Pelodiscus sinensis: one gene and its partner. Each later gene encodes a partner of the first gene's protein in a complex. Links are inferred from orthologs where the notes say so. Each region holds a gene or a part of one and is shown in the gene's direction. Other genes may lie near its edges.

Region 1 (7,087 bases):
CCGCACCATCAACTATATCCACCCCAGGCCACAGGCCCTCAGTCATACCTGCCCTGGGTTCTCAGATGTACCCACCACTGGAGCCTGGGTTCTCGGCCATACCTGCCCTGGGTTCTCAGCTATTCCTGCCCCTGTACCTGGGTTCTCAACTGTATCCATCCCAAGTCCTGGGTTCTTGGCCACACTTGCCCTGGTTTCTCACCTGTACCTTTTCCAGGCCCTGGTTTCTCAGCTGTACCCATCCCAGGGCATGGGTGTTGTCCTTAAGAGTACTGCATGAGGGTATGTCTACACTAGAAAGTTAGTTCGAACTAACGGACGTTAGTTCGAACTAACTTTCCTATGCGCTACACTAGCGCTCCGCTAGTTCGAATTTGAATCGAACTAGCGGAGCGCTTAGTTCGAACTAGGTAAACCTCATTTTACGAGGACTAACGCCTAGTTCGAACTAGCTAGTTCGAACTAAGGGCTGTGTAGCCCTTTAGTTCGAACTAGTGGGAGGCTAGCCCTCCCCAGGTTTCCCTGGTGGCCACTCTGGCCAACACCAGGGAAACTCTATGCCCCCCTCCCGGCCCCGGACCCCTTAAAGGGGCACGGGCTGGCTACGGTGCCCGTGCCAGGTGCAAGCCTGCCAGCACCCAGCTAGCAGACCCTGCACCTGGCACGGCACAGAGCCACCCACCCGATGCCCCCCAGCCCACCCCCTCTTGCCGGGACCAGGCTGGCGGCTCCCGGGAGCTTGCCCTGGACCGCAAGAGGCGGGCACCTTCCTGGGCTAGTGCGGACATCGTGGACCTCGTCCACGATCTCCGCACTAGGCACAGGAAAGTGGCCGTCTAGGGCAGGAGAGCTGCCAGCCTGGCCACCCAGGACCAGGTGTGCATGAAAATCAAGGGGGTCCACTGAGACCCCCGACACTGAGCCCTGAGCTTACAATGGCCGTACTGGGTCAGACCAAAGGTCCATCTAGCCCAGTAGCCTGTCTGCCAACAGCGGCCAACCCTAGGGACCCTGGAGGGGATGGACCGAAGACAATGACCAAGCCATTTGTCTCGTGCCATCCCTCTCCAGCCTTCCACAAACTTTGGGCAGGGACACCACTCCTACCCTCTGGCTAATAGGACTCCATGGACCCAACCTCCATGACTTGATCTCACTTCCCTTTAAACTCTGTTCTAGTTGTAGCCTTCACAGCCTCCTGCAGCAAGGAGTTCCACAGGTTAACTATTTGCTTTGTCAACAACAACAACTTTCTCTTACTAGTTTCAAGCCTGCTACCCATTCCTTTCCTTTGGTGTCCTCTAGTCCTTCTTTATGGGAACTCAGGAAGAACTTTTCTGAATGCACCCTCTCCACCCAACCCCTGCTTTTAGAGACCTCTATCCTGTCCCCCCTCCGTCTCCTCTTTTCTAAGCTGAACAGTCCCAGTCTCTGTAGCCTTTCTTCATCTGGGACCTGTTCCCAACCCCTGATCATGTTAGTTGCCCTCCCCTCTCCCAGCCTTTCTCTTCCCCTCTCCCACCTCCTTTTCCCAGTCTCCCCCAGTTTTTTTCAATAAAGACAGAGTCAATGTTGGAAGAAACGTTATCTTTATTTTGTACATCAATAAGAAGGGGGGCTAGGGAAGGGTAAGTGGAAGGAGGTGAGGGAGGTATGGGGTACGAGCCCCCGATGGCGAGGACTGGGCTGGCTCTGCGGGCTTCTGGGGGTGGAAGCTCTCCTGCTGCCCCCCAATTACCCCCTCTCCCCAGATGGCAGCCTGCGGCAAGTGCAGCCGGGGTGATGGCCGAGTGGTGTGATGTGCTCAGTGTGGGCACTCAGGGCACTCCAAGCCAGAACTTCTTTGCAAGCGGGGCACCCCTGAGAACTGTGTGTCCGGGGTGGGGGTCGGGACCCTTTAAGCGCAGCCCTCGGCTAGCCTGAGACAGCATCTCCATGCTCTAAGTCCTCCTTTTATGCCCTGCCGGCACTGCTTCCGGCCAGCCTTAAGCCCTGTTCAGAGTCCACTCAATGTGGACTTACTAGTTCGAACTAGCAAAACGCTAGTTCGAACTAGTTTTTAGTTCTAGATGCGTTAGTTCGAACTAGCTTAGTTCGAATTAACTAATTCGAACTAAGTTAGTTCGAACTAGCGCTGTAGTGTAGACGTACCCTGAGATCTTTTCAGGGCAAAAAGGCAAAACACCATATTTATTGGTAGCACATATATCAATCAACACTTATCATATGCATATGATAACACAAGCACACCCCATCTTCTTGTTGTTACCAATAATTGTTCCCTCTAACTGCACTGGCCAGGTGAGTTAGGTGGGGGAGGGGTAGAGGGCTTCTGCAGATCTGGGTAGGTGCTCCCATGTTGACAAGACAAAAACCCAGGGTCCCTCTGCAAGATGCCTTAGATTTATAGTGTCTTCCCTCTCCTGCAGATCTCCACCAGTTGGTCATCACATGCATATGCATCATCTGTAAGAGTCATCATATGCATATGCAGTTAAGTGATAGAAATGTAGCCGTGTTAGTCTGGGGTAGTTGAAGCAAAATGCAGGACAATGTAGCACTTTAAAGACTAACAAGATGGTTTATTAGATGATGAGCTTTTGTGGGCCAGACCCACTTCCGAAAGCTCATCATCTAATAAACCATCTTGTTAGTCTTTAAAGTGCTACATTGTCCTGCATTTTGCTTCATATGCAGTTAAGACATCTGTGGCACCTTCTTTTGGGTGGTGTCTCAATGCTGCCACATTCTCCTTCAAAGAGGGTGCTTCCAAAAGCTGGCACTTGCTGCTGACTCCCAAAGTGTCCATATGTCCACTCATCTTTCAATGAGCCCACTTCACAGATCCCATTGTTCTTCTCATTGTTCTTGGATCTGGCTTCCACCCCTCTCCAACCTTTGCAAGTGTCCAGAGGTGGTTGTCTTTCATGCCTTATCCATTCACACCTCATTCACTCAATAGGACAATCAATTACGCAAAACGGGGTACAAAGTCTACAAGATACAAGGTTTCTATGTAAAAAGACTTAATACAAAGTTTCTATGTTCTATATGAAAGTATACAAAGTTTCTATATAAAAGGACTTAATGTAACAAAGCTAAAGACGTAATACAATGCTAAAAGAACTTGATACAGAGTCAATTGATAAAAATGTCAATGAGAAAATAATTAATACAGAGATTAATGAGATGTATCTACATGGGTTCTTGGCTGTACCCACCCTAGGTTCCCGACTGTACTTACCCCGGGCTCTGGGTTGGGTTGTACCCACCGCAGGGCCTGGGGTCTTAGGTTATACCTGCCCTGGATTCTCAGTTGTACCTATCCCAGGGTCTGGGTTCTGGGCCGTACCCACCCTGAGTTCTCGACTACACCTGCGCTGGATGCTCATTTGTACCCACCCCAGGATCTGGCTTCTCAGCTGTACCTGCGCTGGGGCCTGGGTTCTGGGCTGTACCTGCGAACCCGGAATGTCCATGGCCCAGCTGTTGCCTGGGGCTACGAGAGGTCAATAAAAGGGCTAAGGGGCATGGGCTCTGTGCCAGCTGAAAGTTACCCCTCCCAGGAGCCAGCACCGCCTCGCCTGCGCCCCGCCACCCGCACTGCGCCCAGCAGGACACCGCTGCGCAGCGCGCTTCCCTGCATCCCCCGCCAGCTTCTTCGCATCCAAACAAAACCGCGAAGAGGAGGAGCCCTGCCCCGCCCAGACCAGACCAATGCTCCGGGGGGCCAGGAGCCCTGGGGCCATGCGCATTGAAACTCTGCCCACCCTGCAAGCGGGAGCTGATCCGCCTCGGGGGCCACGTGGGCGCTTCCTGCCATCTGAGCACGCGCACGCCTGATGGACACAAAGCCCGGCCCGTCGCTAGGCAACGCGGGGCGTGTTCGGGCCAGGGCCAGCTCTTCGGGGGCGGACCCATGACGTAATATCGCATGGCCCCCTGGCCGGGGGTGATGACGTATGGGCGAGAGGGCCTCTTGAGAAGCAACGGCTCGTTCTTCAGCACTTCCGGGGTGTTCCGGAAGTACTTGCTGCCTTGGTTCGGACGTGCGTGCGGTGCTGCGTTTCCGCTTGGTCGCGGCCGGGGCCGGGTAGCTGAGGCGGCGCCATGGCTGATGTGACCGCGCGGAGCCTGCAGTACGAATACAAGGCGGTGAGTGGGGGCGGGGAGAGCAGTCCCCGGAGAGGGGCGCGGGCGCCCGGTTTTGGGGGAGACGACTAGGCTCTGCCGAGCTTTTCTCGGGCGGCCGGTACATTCCTCACTCCGGTTCCCCCTCGGGGGAGGCCTGCCCGCCTGCTCCCTCAGCAGGTCCAGGGGCCTCGCGCTCAATCGGGGAGACTCCCGTGGACAGCAGGTGGGGTAAAGACTTGTCCCAGCCCTGTGGGTGCTGGTGCATAAAGGTCTCTAGCATCTGCTTTAGTGTCCCATTGAGCCTCGCCCCAGCCTGCTGAGGCTGCGTATTTCACACCCCAAACTTCTCCCACCAGCACCAGAGCAGGGCTGACATAAAGTTGAACCTTTGGTCTGCAAGGACCTCCTTGGGAAACCCCACTCTGCTGAAAATGGTTAGCAGTGTGTCTGCCTCAATAGAAGACCGAGCCACTGCCTCAGAGTAGTGAGTAGTGAAATCTTCCCAGTTTGGGTGGCTTTCCTGAAATGTCCCACTATATCCTTAGCCATCTTCTGGAAAGGCTCCTCTTATGATTGGCAGAGGCCTCAAGTTGGCTTTCCCCTTGTCCTGGGCCCTCCCTATCCTGTGGTAAGGGTTGCAGGACTGTTGGATAGCATCAAAGATTCCAGGCCAGTAAAAGTTCTGTAGCAGCCACTGCCTGGTGTGCTGGAGACCCTGGTTTCCCGAGAGTGGGATGTCACAGGTCAGGTACAGTAGCCTTCCAAGGTACTTTTTGGGAATCACCTACTGCTGCTGGACCCCCACCCCCTGCTATGACTCCACTTCCCTTGGGGATGGAATCCATTCCCGGTTCAGGAATCCCTTCAACCACAGGAACCTCTCCTTGCATTCTTCCCCCAGCAGTTGTGCTGCACTGAGGCCAGCCAGGTCCCTCAGCTTCTGTAAGGAGGGATCTTTCTGCAACTCAGCCTTGAGTTTAGCAGCCAGGGAAGGGATGGAGACCTGTTCCCCTTCACAGCCTGGGTCTGACATCACAGCAATGCCAAGCCTGGCTGTTGGGAATTTTCTGCCAGTGTAGGGCCCTGTGCCCCCTTCAGGTTACCCTCACCAGGGCAGAGTGCCTCTTGCTGGCTTTGGCTAAGGGTAGTGACCAGAACACTGTGGGGTCCTTCTTCCAGATCACTCCCCATCAGCACCCCAGTGGGCAAGTGATGGTGCACCTCCACCTCTTTTGGGCCCTTTTAGCCCCCCCATTTCAGGTACTCTTGCTATGGGTACCTTGAATGGGGTCCTGTCTATGCATGTCAAAGTCAGGTGGGCATTGGGCATCATCAAGTCTGGTGCCACCACCTCAGACTGGGCCAGTATTACCATAGCACCCTTGTCCCAGTGCCCCATGATTTATTAGGCAACAGGGACATAGCGTAGAACAGGCTTGTCAGCAGAGCAACCAGAAGCAGTTATTGCAATCTGTCATGTGGGGGGGAGGGCAGAGCCAGGGCCTCCCCCTGCAAGGTTCCCGCTAAGTTTTTCCATTGTTGAGTGAAATAAATGTATGTGCACTGAGAAATGTGCAGATGTGCACCACCAATAGAAACACATGCTGTGGGCACTCTGCTAATCAGCTGGGCAGCATCTGAATCTCTGCTGGGCAGCTGCCCAAGCACTCAGTCTACAGGGAACACTATCCCCCTGCTTCCCTAAAATAGCTGAGATTAATCTACATCCCCAGCAGTCTTGTCCCAGTCCCCAGCTTGGCCTTTTCTCCAGTTTTTGTCCTGCTTCCTGGGCAGCAGGTGCTCTTTCTCCCCCACCCCGCTTAGGTTACAAAGGGCTTCAGCCATTGTGTACATGTAGGCAGCTGGGGTAGCTGCCTTCAGCTATGGGAATTTTGGGTTGTATTTTCACTATCTAGGTATTGATGTAGTGCTGTGAGAAACTGAGGCACACACATGGGATTACCATAGGACAGTAGCATTCACATGCGACATCATAAAGTGAATAAAAGCCCCCAGTTTGTCATACCATTCCTTTCTTTGCATCCCTCACTGGGTTAATTTTCTTTATTATATCCAACATAAGCTACTGGTAAAAAAAATTAAAAAGCAGAGTCCTGCAGCACTTTAGCAACTAACAAAAAATATAGATGGTCTCTAAAGTGCTGCAGGATTATTGTTTTTTACATTTTTTTTTTTCAGTTACAGACTAACATGACTACCTTCTGAAGTGTATAAGCTACTTGTATATGCTTTCTAGGCGTTTGAAGTCATTTCCCTCTCTCCCTCTAATTTGCTCTTGAATAGTTGATTCCTACTTCTGGTTGGCTACTGCTACCATCGACTTCTTAAATTTCCAGGCAAGCATTGCCCTGCTTTCCCTGTACTGACCCTTTTCCTTGTGACACTACTTATAAATATCTGCAAAGCTACCTCATTTCTTTTCAGATCCCTTCTCAAAACTGTTTTTTGCCGTGAGGCCTACAAAAAGCTTGATTGCTAGTGTGCTGAGACCACTATTGATTGTCAATATTAACTCATTGATTCTTTAAGCTGTGCTAGTTGTATCCATGAGGAGTTCCTAGTTTTATACTTGGATTGTAAGCTTTTGGGAGCAGAGATTGTCTTTTGTTTGTATAGCACTTGGCACCACAGGGTCTTGGCTTATGACACTAGGCACCACAGTAATGAGGATAATGTATAGGAATTTGTTTGATTTCTTCACACCTCTTATCTGCTCTTGTGATGTTATCCCTTTCAGAATTCTAATCTTGTACTGCAAGCTGATCGCTCCTTGATCGACAGGACCAGGCGAGATGAGCCTACAGGGGAAGTGCTCTCCTTGGTTGGGAAGCTGGAGGGCACTCGAATGGGGGACAAGGCTCAAAGAACAAAACCCCAGATGCAGGAAGAGAGACGAGCAAAGTGAGTGGGTTACACAGGAAATTGTTTTTCA
Region 2 (8,040 bases), on another chromosome or scaffold:
GGCAGGCCCGTGAGAGGCAAGACAACACTGCCCATCAGAGTGTGAAGATCTCGTCCTCTTTGTCCCGCAACGTGGCGGCCCGCGTGGTTTTGGTGAGCGGCACGGGGCCCAGCAGGGAGCGCTGCTGAGCGGAAGGAGAGGGCTCGCTCCGACAGGGAATGGTCCTGCTTGCTCCTGGCTCCATCCCAGCAATTCTGCAGGGAGAGAAGAGGGGGTTAGATCTCGGCAGGGGAATGGCCCCCACAGACAGACCCTGCTCGGGGATCCCTCTGCTGTGCCTTGCTAGGGAATGTGTGACCCAGCACAGTGCCCACAGCTGGGGCTGGGAAGGATCCAGGGCAGGGCGGGATTCCTAGGGGTGCAATAGACCGGAGAGGACCGAGTACAGATGGGAAGGAGGGACGACTGTAGAAGCTCTGTGGGATCTTTGTTCAAAGCCAACAAAACCCTCACATGGCTCGGGAACCTCGGGCAGAGTGTGAACCAGCAGAACTGGGGGCAGGGTGGGGGGGCCATGGCCTGGGGCTAAGACTGAGGGCCAGGAGCCCAGGGCTGGGAAAGGAGGGGGCTGCGGGTGCGGATTTAGGGGCTGGAACCTTGCTCAGTTCCGAGCAGAGAACTTCACCGCAGGCAACGGCGCCCTCTAGTGGCCCCCAAGTCTAGCGGAGCTGGCTTCGGAGCCGGGGATTCCCTGTACAGCAGCCAGTGGGGGGCCAGACAGTGGCCACAGGCTCCTCCAGCTACGCTCTGAGCCAAGGCACTGGCAGCGGATCCCCCTGCAGCTCTGCACCAAGGGGAGGACAAGAACCCGGCGGTTTCTAACAATCCAAGCCATACGGGGACCTCTGCCCCGTGAGCCACAGACAGTGACAGACTGGATCCATCCCACCTAGCGTGTCCTCCCCCTCAGGAGCGACCAAGGGCCGTTTCCCCTGGAGGGACCCAGGAAACAGCCTGGGACCCTGGTGAATTCCTTCCCACCTCGGCAGTGCGCAGCACGAGCCTGGCAGGACACGATTTCTTAGCTCTTGCCAGCACAGCGCCAATAGGAGATGAGGGGGGGGGGGGGGCAGGGAGGGGCCAAACAGCATCACGCTGCCGTGCGCGGCTGTTCATCACCTTCAGATAACTCCTCGTCATTCACGCGCAATCAAGCCTCTCCTCCCCGCGCCGGATCCCTAGCTGCAACGCCAGCGGCATCTGCACTTGCCTGGCCACTGTACAGCACGAGGAGGGGCAGGATGGGGGTTGGGGAGGCCCGGAGCAGCCAAAGCCTGGGGCATACATCACCTCTGCCCAGTCAGCAATGAAGAACCCCTCGCCGTCCCCCTCAGGCCTGAGCTCTCTTCACGTCAGCCCCCACCAGGATACTGCCCATTAGCCTTGGGGACCAGTGTTCCCTGAAAGCTGAGCCCCGAGGTGACCACCCAAGAGAGATTCAAATGCCACCCAGTGGATTAGCAGAGTGCCCTCCAGTGCAAACAGCTGGCAGCATGTTTCTATTGGTGGTGCACACTGACACATGCCTTGGTGCATATAAAATATATTCCTCAAGTGGATGGGAAAAAATGAGAGAGACCATTCTTGGGGACTCCTGATTAAGTCTGGGCCAGTGGGGAAGGAGCAGGCTAAGGGGCAGGACATGAGTGGGGTCTCACAGGTTTCGGGCTGCGGGCTCCTTTCTTTTTAAATGAGCACAGCACTTGATTTGACAGGGTTTTCATTTCTCCCCCCCCCCCCATGGGTTTGTCAAACCTGAGCTGCGGGTGCTCGGGCATCACTGCGCCTCCTATGGGAGGCAGCTGAAACTTGTGGGGTCCCCTTGCCCATAGCAGCCCACAGAGGATATCAGAGCAAACACAAGGGCAGCCGGCAGAGACTCTCCTTCTATGCTGTTAGCAGGGGCCTATGTGCTGGAGCAACAGGACTGGGGTTCCACCCCCTGCCTATACAGCCCGGGCACCACATTAGCGCCACAGTAACTGCAGGGTGGCACTCACGTTGTTTCCCCCTCTCTCAGCTTCTTCACCGCGGCCTTCTTGGACAGATTGATCTCGGAGTCGAGCTTTCGTAAGAAATCCGTGGCCGAGAGGTCATGACGGGGGGTGGAGCCTGCGCTGGCCGCAGAGCTGTTTTTCAGCACCAGCGTCTCCTTTCCCGTGGCAGGCTGTGTGGCTCCTTCCTCCCGCTTTAAGCCGTTCACCATCTCCTCGGGCTCCACCAGGACAGGGATGTGCAGTGTCGTCTTGAGGAAGATGGAGTCACTGGTGTACAGACGATTTGCCCGCTTGATCTGCTCCATCTGGGAAGGCACCATAAGACTTGTAAGCCCACTAGCCTGCGACAGACATCACCAACCTTCTCTATTCAGAGCATGGTCCTAAAAGCTACTTTGCAAGCTGGGTGCCTAATATCAGTCACTACCAAAATGCAGCCACTTCTGGGGTGGAGGGCACCAGTAAGCAAACAGAACACCACACAATGAGAGAAAGCAGGCACACAGCTGGCCTGGACTGCAAATGCTGGGTTTGTGCTGGCAGGGAGAAGGGCTGGAGGTCACTAGAGATTTAATGTTGAGGATGTGGGGGGACAGACTCCGCATGCTTGAGGCTCAGGTTTCAATGCAGCCAGATGAGTCTGTGCTCTCTCACTGGAGGGGAGAGGGCCATGCCATTGACAAGTCTGCTAGCGGGTCCACCCCACCGGTCTCCTATGCTCTGCTGGGGGTGGGAGGGATGAGGAAAGACAACCTGGAAACCCTTCACCACGGCACATGCCTCATCTCCAGCCCAAAGACCAAAAAACCCTCCTTTCTACCTTACTGGCTGCTCATTAGGTCCCTGCAAAATGAGCTGGCAGGTTCTCAGCACTGGCACTGAAATAAAGCTGGCCCCCTGGCTGGCAGCCCCAGAGAAAGCTCCCCTCTTTCCCTGCCCCTCCAGCTGCACGGCAAGGCACTCCTGCAGCGAGCAGCATGCATGTGTTCTAGGGAAGAATGAATTGCTGTGGTCAGGCTCCAGGCCTATCAAGGTTTAAACTGCTGAGGGCCACTACTGCCTGACCACACCACAGACAGCAAAGCTGGCCCGGCCCAGCCGGATATGTGTGTGTGGGGGAGGGGGGGGATTTTGTTCCCATCACCAGGGGAATTTCTGCTGCATACACTGAACTCCTGTGAAAACCACTTGGGGCCACAGAACACAAAGTTGCAAAATACAGGAAATGAGAAGGGTGCAAGTTCATGTGAATGCACAAGTGCACATTAGCCGGATCCCATCAGCCACATGAAGAGGCAACAGCACACCTGGGCAACCATGAGGAGACAGCAATTGAAGGATTGGAACCCTCAGACCTAAATCTGCATGAGACTTCAGACTTTCAGCCCTCCCGTGCATCCACCCATACTCCGAGGACCCCAGTGGGGTGCCCACTCCAAGTTCCATGATCAGGACGCTGGACTATGGCTTTGATTTTCTGCCAATCCCCTTCTGGAGTGCCATAAACTATTATGAATCATTAGGTGTATTGCAGAAGCCTCTAGGAGCCTCAGCCAAGAACCAGGAGATCCCACCACAGGGGAATCAGAGGTGCCTGGACGCAAGAGAGGTGACTCCTGCCAGCAGCCCCTCTTCTTAGGGGTGCTCATGATGGGAGCCTCCCTACTTCACCCCAGACATTCAGCAAACAAAAAAGCAGTAATGCTGAGTATTTTAGCAGAACTCCTCATCCAAGACACACAAAGCACAGTACAAAATGGGGTCCCCCTAATCAGTGGAAATCAATGAGGCCCCAAGCTGCAGGATCAGGGCTGACACAAGAAAGAAGGGAAGCCGGGACAGGTCAGGTATCGAGCACTTTACAAAAGGTACATCCATGGGAATAGCTTTTTTTATAAAACGGAGAAAAAGGTATAGAGTGGTGACCAGAAACCAGAAGACATGGCTTCCTGTTCCCTGCTCCATCCACAAGACCCTACTCCCCTCCAAAGCTGGGAACAGAACCCAGGAGTCCTGGTACTGCCCCCTGCTCCAACAGTGGGACCTCATGGGCACCCCAGCTACATCCCCCAGATCGCAAGGGGAAGCTGCTGCGCAGACCTACCGTGACGCCATACTTGAGTGCCAGCCCCTGCAAGGTGTCCCCCGGCTCCAGACGATGTTCCACCCTCCTCTCCCTCACCGGGGAGTGTGTCGACTTGATGAGGCTGCCGTAGGACCGGGTCCTGCTGCCACAGAGCAAACCAGCCCCTCCAGGGGATCCTTGCCTGGAGGGGGAGGCCATCTCCCCCCCCAGCCCCCAGTCAGTGGTGCAACCAGTGCAGGCGGCAGAGGGGCCTGGAGGGGTCAGGACTCCTGCCAGCACCCTCTTTCCTGAGGGGTGCTCATGGCAGAACGAACAAGGGCCTCCCAGGCAGACTAGGGACCCCCCACTTCTAGCCCCCCCGCTTCTAGCCCCCCCCCAAAGGGTCTCTCTCCGGTCTTGCTTCTTCTCCCCCCTCTCGGCCTCTAGTCCAGGGCAGGGGGCCACCCAATTTCCGCCCCACACTGCAAAACGCAGCCTGCACGGATGGGGGTGCAGGGGGTCCCTCGATTTCCTCCCCACCCCTTCCGCCGGAGAGGGATAAGGGGGGGGGGTTCCTCTATCTCATCCGCGCCGCCCCCCCTTTACTCGGGGGGAGGGGCAAATTACTCTCCCCTCCCCCCGGAATCCAGCCACCCCACGGACCCCGCCACCCCGCGCAGGGCAGCCAGAGTCTGCGCTGCCTCCGCTCCGCCCCGCCCCAACAGCGGAGCGGGGCCAACCCCCGCCCACTCCGCGCAAAGGCCTCTGGGAACATAGTCTCTCCCTAGCAAGCTCCTCCCCGCCTAACAACGCTCCGCCCCTTTGGAGGCCACAGGAGAAGCACAGCGGGGAACATCTCCCCCCTCCCCCCCAACCCAGCCACAAGCGTCGCCTCGCGGAAGCAGAGACGTGGGTGAGGACTACATTTCCCAGCATGCCCCTCGCCTTCTAGCCCTCTCCACGCATCACGGCGGTTTTGACCCCAGAGGCCTATCGGTGCCGAGCGCCCAGAGGCATGCTGGGAAGGGTAGTCCCGGAAGTGAACCGAAGAGGAAGTGCGGGGTGGCTCCAGTTGTCATGGTTACCGCCGGTTGGGAAGGGGTCTAGCCCTCCCGGGGCGCCGCCATGTCCTTCAAGCGGGAGGGGGATGACTCGGGCCAGCTGAATGTGCTGCAGGTGAGCGGCGGGGCGGGACACCCCGGCTCCGCCCCCCGACCGACCCCCCCCAACCACCACGGGCCCCACAACTCTCCTCATCCCCAGAGCAACTCCCTGAGCCCCTCAGCTTCCCCAACGCCGCCCCGCTGGCTCTTCCCGCAGCCCCTCCCAACTCCTGGCAGCCCCGTTCCCCTGTCCTCCCTTCAGCCTTCCCGCAGCCCCAGAGCGCCCCCTGCTTCCCCTCCCAGCCTCTCCCCGCCCCCCCTTCAGCGCCGCCACGCCCCCTCCCCAAAACAATCGCCTCAACTCCCTGCCGGCCTCCCATCCTCCCCCAGCCATTCCCCTGCCCCCCCCGACACTCTCCTGCCCCCACATTGTTCCCCCTGCTCTCCCGTCCCCCAAACAATCGCCTGCCCTCCTCCCAACCCTTCCCCCCAGCCCCAGAGCGACCACCCGGCTGCTTCCCTGCTACTCCCCCCTCCCCTTTACTCCCCATCCCCAGAGTGGTCCCACAACACTCCTCAGCCCTTGGCGCCTGCCTTCTGGCCCCCTTCTCCTGCTTCTATTCTTAGCCATTGCCACTGGTCTGCAGGATGACCTTGGGCATTTCACTGCCCTGCTCCGTGCCTCAATTTTCCCATCTGTAAAATTGTAATAATGATAATACCAGCCTCCTTTGTAAAGTGCTCTGAGTCCCACAGTAGAAAAGCACTAGATAAGATCTAGAGGTGGTGGTGGTTGTTCTATAGGCCCCTATCAAAATGACAATCCATTTTGGTCAATTTAATGGTTACAGGATTTTTAAAATAATACATTTACTTATTTTGGCTATCTAAATCTGAAATTTCAAGGTGTTGTAATTGCAGCAGGAGTTGTGGGGGGAAGGGACGACTGTGGTACTTTTCCCTTATTTCTGCACTGCTCCTGGTGGCAGTGCTGCCTTCAGAGCTGAGCATCTCTAAAAGCAGAGCTGCTGCCAGCAGCAGCACAGAAGTACGGATGGCATGGCATGGTATTGCTTCTCTTATCTCTGTGCTGCTGCTTGCAGGATGCTGCCTTCAGACCTGGGTGCCCAGCAACAGCCATGGCTCTATGGCCACTCAACTGTAGGCAACGCAGAAATAAGGGTGGCATTACCATGACACCCCCCCCCCCACACACACACACACAACTCCCTTTTTGGTCTGGACCCCCAATTTGAGAAACATTGATGTCTCCCATGAAATCTGTATAGTATAGGATAAAAGCAAACAAAAGGCCAGATTTCACAATGGACGGCTAGGTTTCATGGTCCGTGACTCATTTTTCATGGAAGGGCCCAATTCATCCTGGTGCCAGGTGCTATGCCGCCCACACCCAAAATATTGATTCCTCAGTAACGTGGCCTGTTCATTTATTCAGAAAAGAAGAGTTGCAGATCTGCTGGCAAACTATATCCCTGAGGATGAGGCACTGTTGCTAAGGAGCGGCAGGTATGTTAGATCTATTCTAAGGTAGGCAGCATTGTTCTGAGAGGACCATGTGCCATAGGAATCAGATTACAGATGAATCTTTGAACCAGTTCAATTAATTGATTACTGCATATATTTGGGGGGCTGAAGCTGCAAAATTGACCACGTGACCTAATGCACAGAGTACCAAAGTGGGAGGCAGGACACCTGGATTCTTCCTGTTCTGGTACAAACCTCTTTTGTGTCCATGAGCAAATCCCTTTATCACTCGGTGCCTTAGTTTCTCCATCTGTAAAATGGGGATAACAATGCTGCCCTTCCTTTCTCAAGTGCTTTGAGATCTAGTGATGAAAAGCACTTGATAAGAGCTCGCCTAGGGGTGGTGGTGTTTATTAAATGTTCTGATCTGGATTTCCAGCATTCAGAAATGTTTTGCTCAGGCCCATTATAAAAATAAAGATGGTCTGTAAAACATAAACCTGGATCTAGCTTTGGACTTGAAACACCACCAAAATCCAGGGTGCAGTGCATTGAGGCTGATCTGGGGTGTTTTGTTTTTTGGGTTAGTTTTCATTTTGGCTTTGCAGAGAGTTCCTGTTTCCCTTCAGATATAAAAGAGCCACATGCCCCCAAGAGAGCCTCTGGCTAATATTACAGACTCAGACAGGTGTCACCGAGGTGTGAGGGATTACTACAGAACAGTACAGGGCAGTAGAAATCATGTGCAACATAACAAGCGAACAGAGTGAATACAGCTTTCAAACTTTTAAATGCCTAGCAGAGAATGAGCATAAACCAGTGGCCATGGGGCCAGGAATTTGGGTTTCAGTTCTTGACTCTCCTTGGTTGTCACTTAAGTTCTGACCTGTTTCCCTAAATTTCAAACTGGAGATGATAAAATAAAGGGCATGTGGTCCAGCATCCAGGACACTGGTGTGGGAATCATGACTTGTTGGGCAAATCTCTCAGCTTCCCCACGTGTAAGATGGGGTAGTAACATTTATCCTGGCTAGCTGTGCTCTGGGAACCTTGGCCAATTATATTTGTAGAAATCCCACTGTGTTGAATGACTTTGAGGACCATGGTCATTTATTCTAGTGAATGTCTCTCCCACTTGCAGTATTACCAAGTGCACTGTCTCTTAATGCTAATAAGAAAGGCTGGGCCCAACTGCCCTAGCAGGTATGCATGAGGGGGCAGGGATTATCCTGGCTTGATCTGACCATCTTTCCTCTTCTTCCTCAGATATGCCTGCACAGTGTGTTTCCACCGTCCGGTCTTCGACACACTTGACATGCTGACAGTCCACAGGGCTGGCAAGAAACATGTAGCTAGTAAGTCAGCCCCAAGGGCTCGGTTGCTCAAGGAA

What was found. Proteins that work in one complex are often made in the same cells at the same time.
Region 2: SNRNP200 (region 1) and SCNM1 share a complex: the UniProt entries of both Homo sapiens proteins name them as parts of the minor spliceosome. The link is inferred for Pelodiscus sinensis from reciprocal best matches to the Homo sapiens genes SNRNP200 and SCNM1.

Annotation. Positions count from the first base shown.
Region 1 is NC_134738.1:241,267-248,353, reverse strand, and holds the start of SNRNP200 (U5 small nuclear ribonucleoprotein 200 kDa helicase), read left to right. Parts: upstream 1-3,997; 5' UTR 3,998-4,110; coding exon 4,111-4,155; intron 4,156-6,892; coding exon 6,893-7,056; intron 7,057-7,087. UniProt on the Homo sapiens protein: Catalyzes the ATP-dependent unwinding of U4/U6 RNA duplices, an essential step in the assembly of a catalytically active spliceosome. Plays a role in pre-mRNA splicing as a core component of precatalytic, catalytic and postcatalytic spliceosomal complexes.
Region 2 is NC_134734.1:15,658,559-15,666,598, reverse strand, and holds the start of SCNM1 (sodium channel modifier 1), read left to right. Parts: upstream 1-5,034; 5' UTR 5,035-5,187; coding exon 5,188-5,238; intron 5,239-6,621; coding exon 6,622-6,692; intron 6,693-7,916; coding exon 7,917-8,005; intron 8,006-8,040. Other genes in the region: LYSMD1 (lysM and putative peptidoglycan-binding domain-containing protein 1), read right to left, coding at 35-194, 2,001-2,302, 4,102-4,281. UniProt on the Homo sapiens protein: As a component of the minor spliceosome, involved in the splicing of U12-type introns in pre-mRNAs. Plays a role in the regulation of primary cilia length and Hedgehog signaling.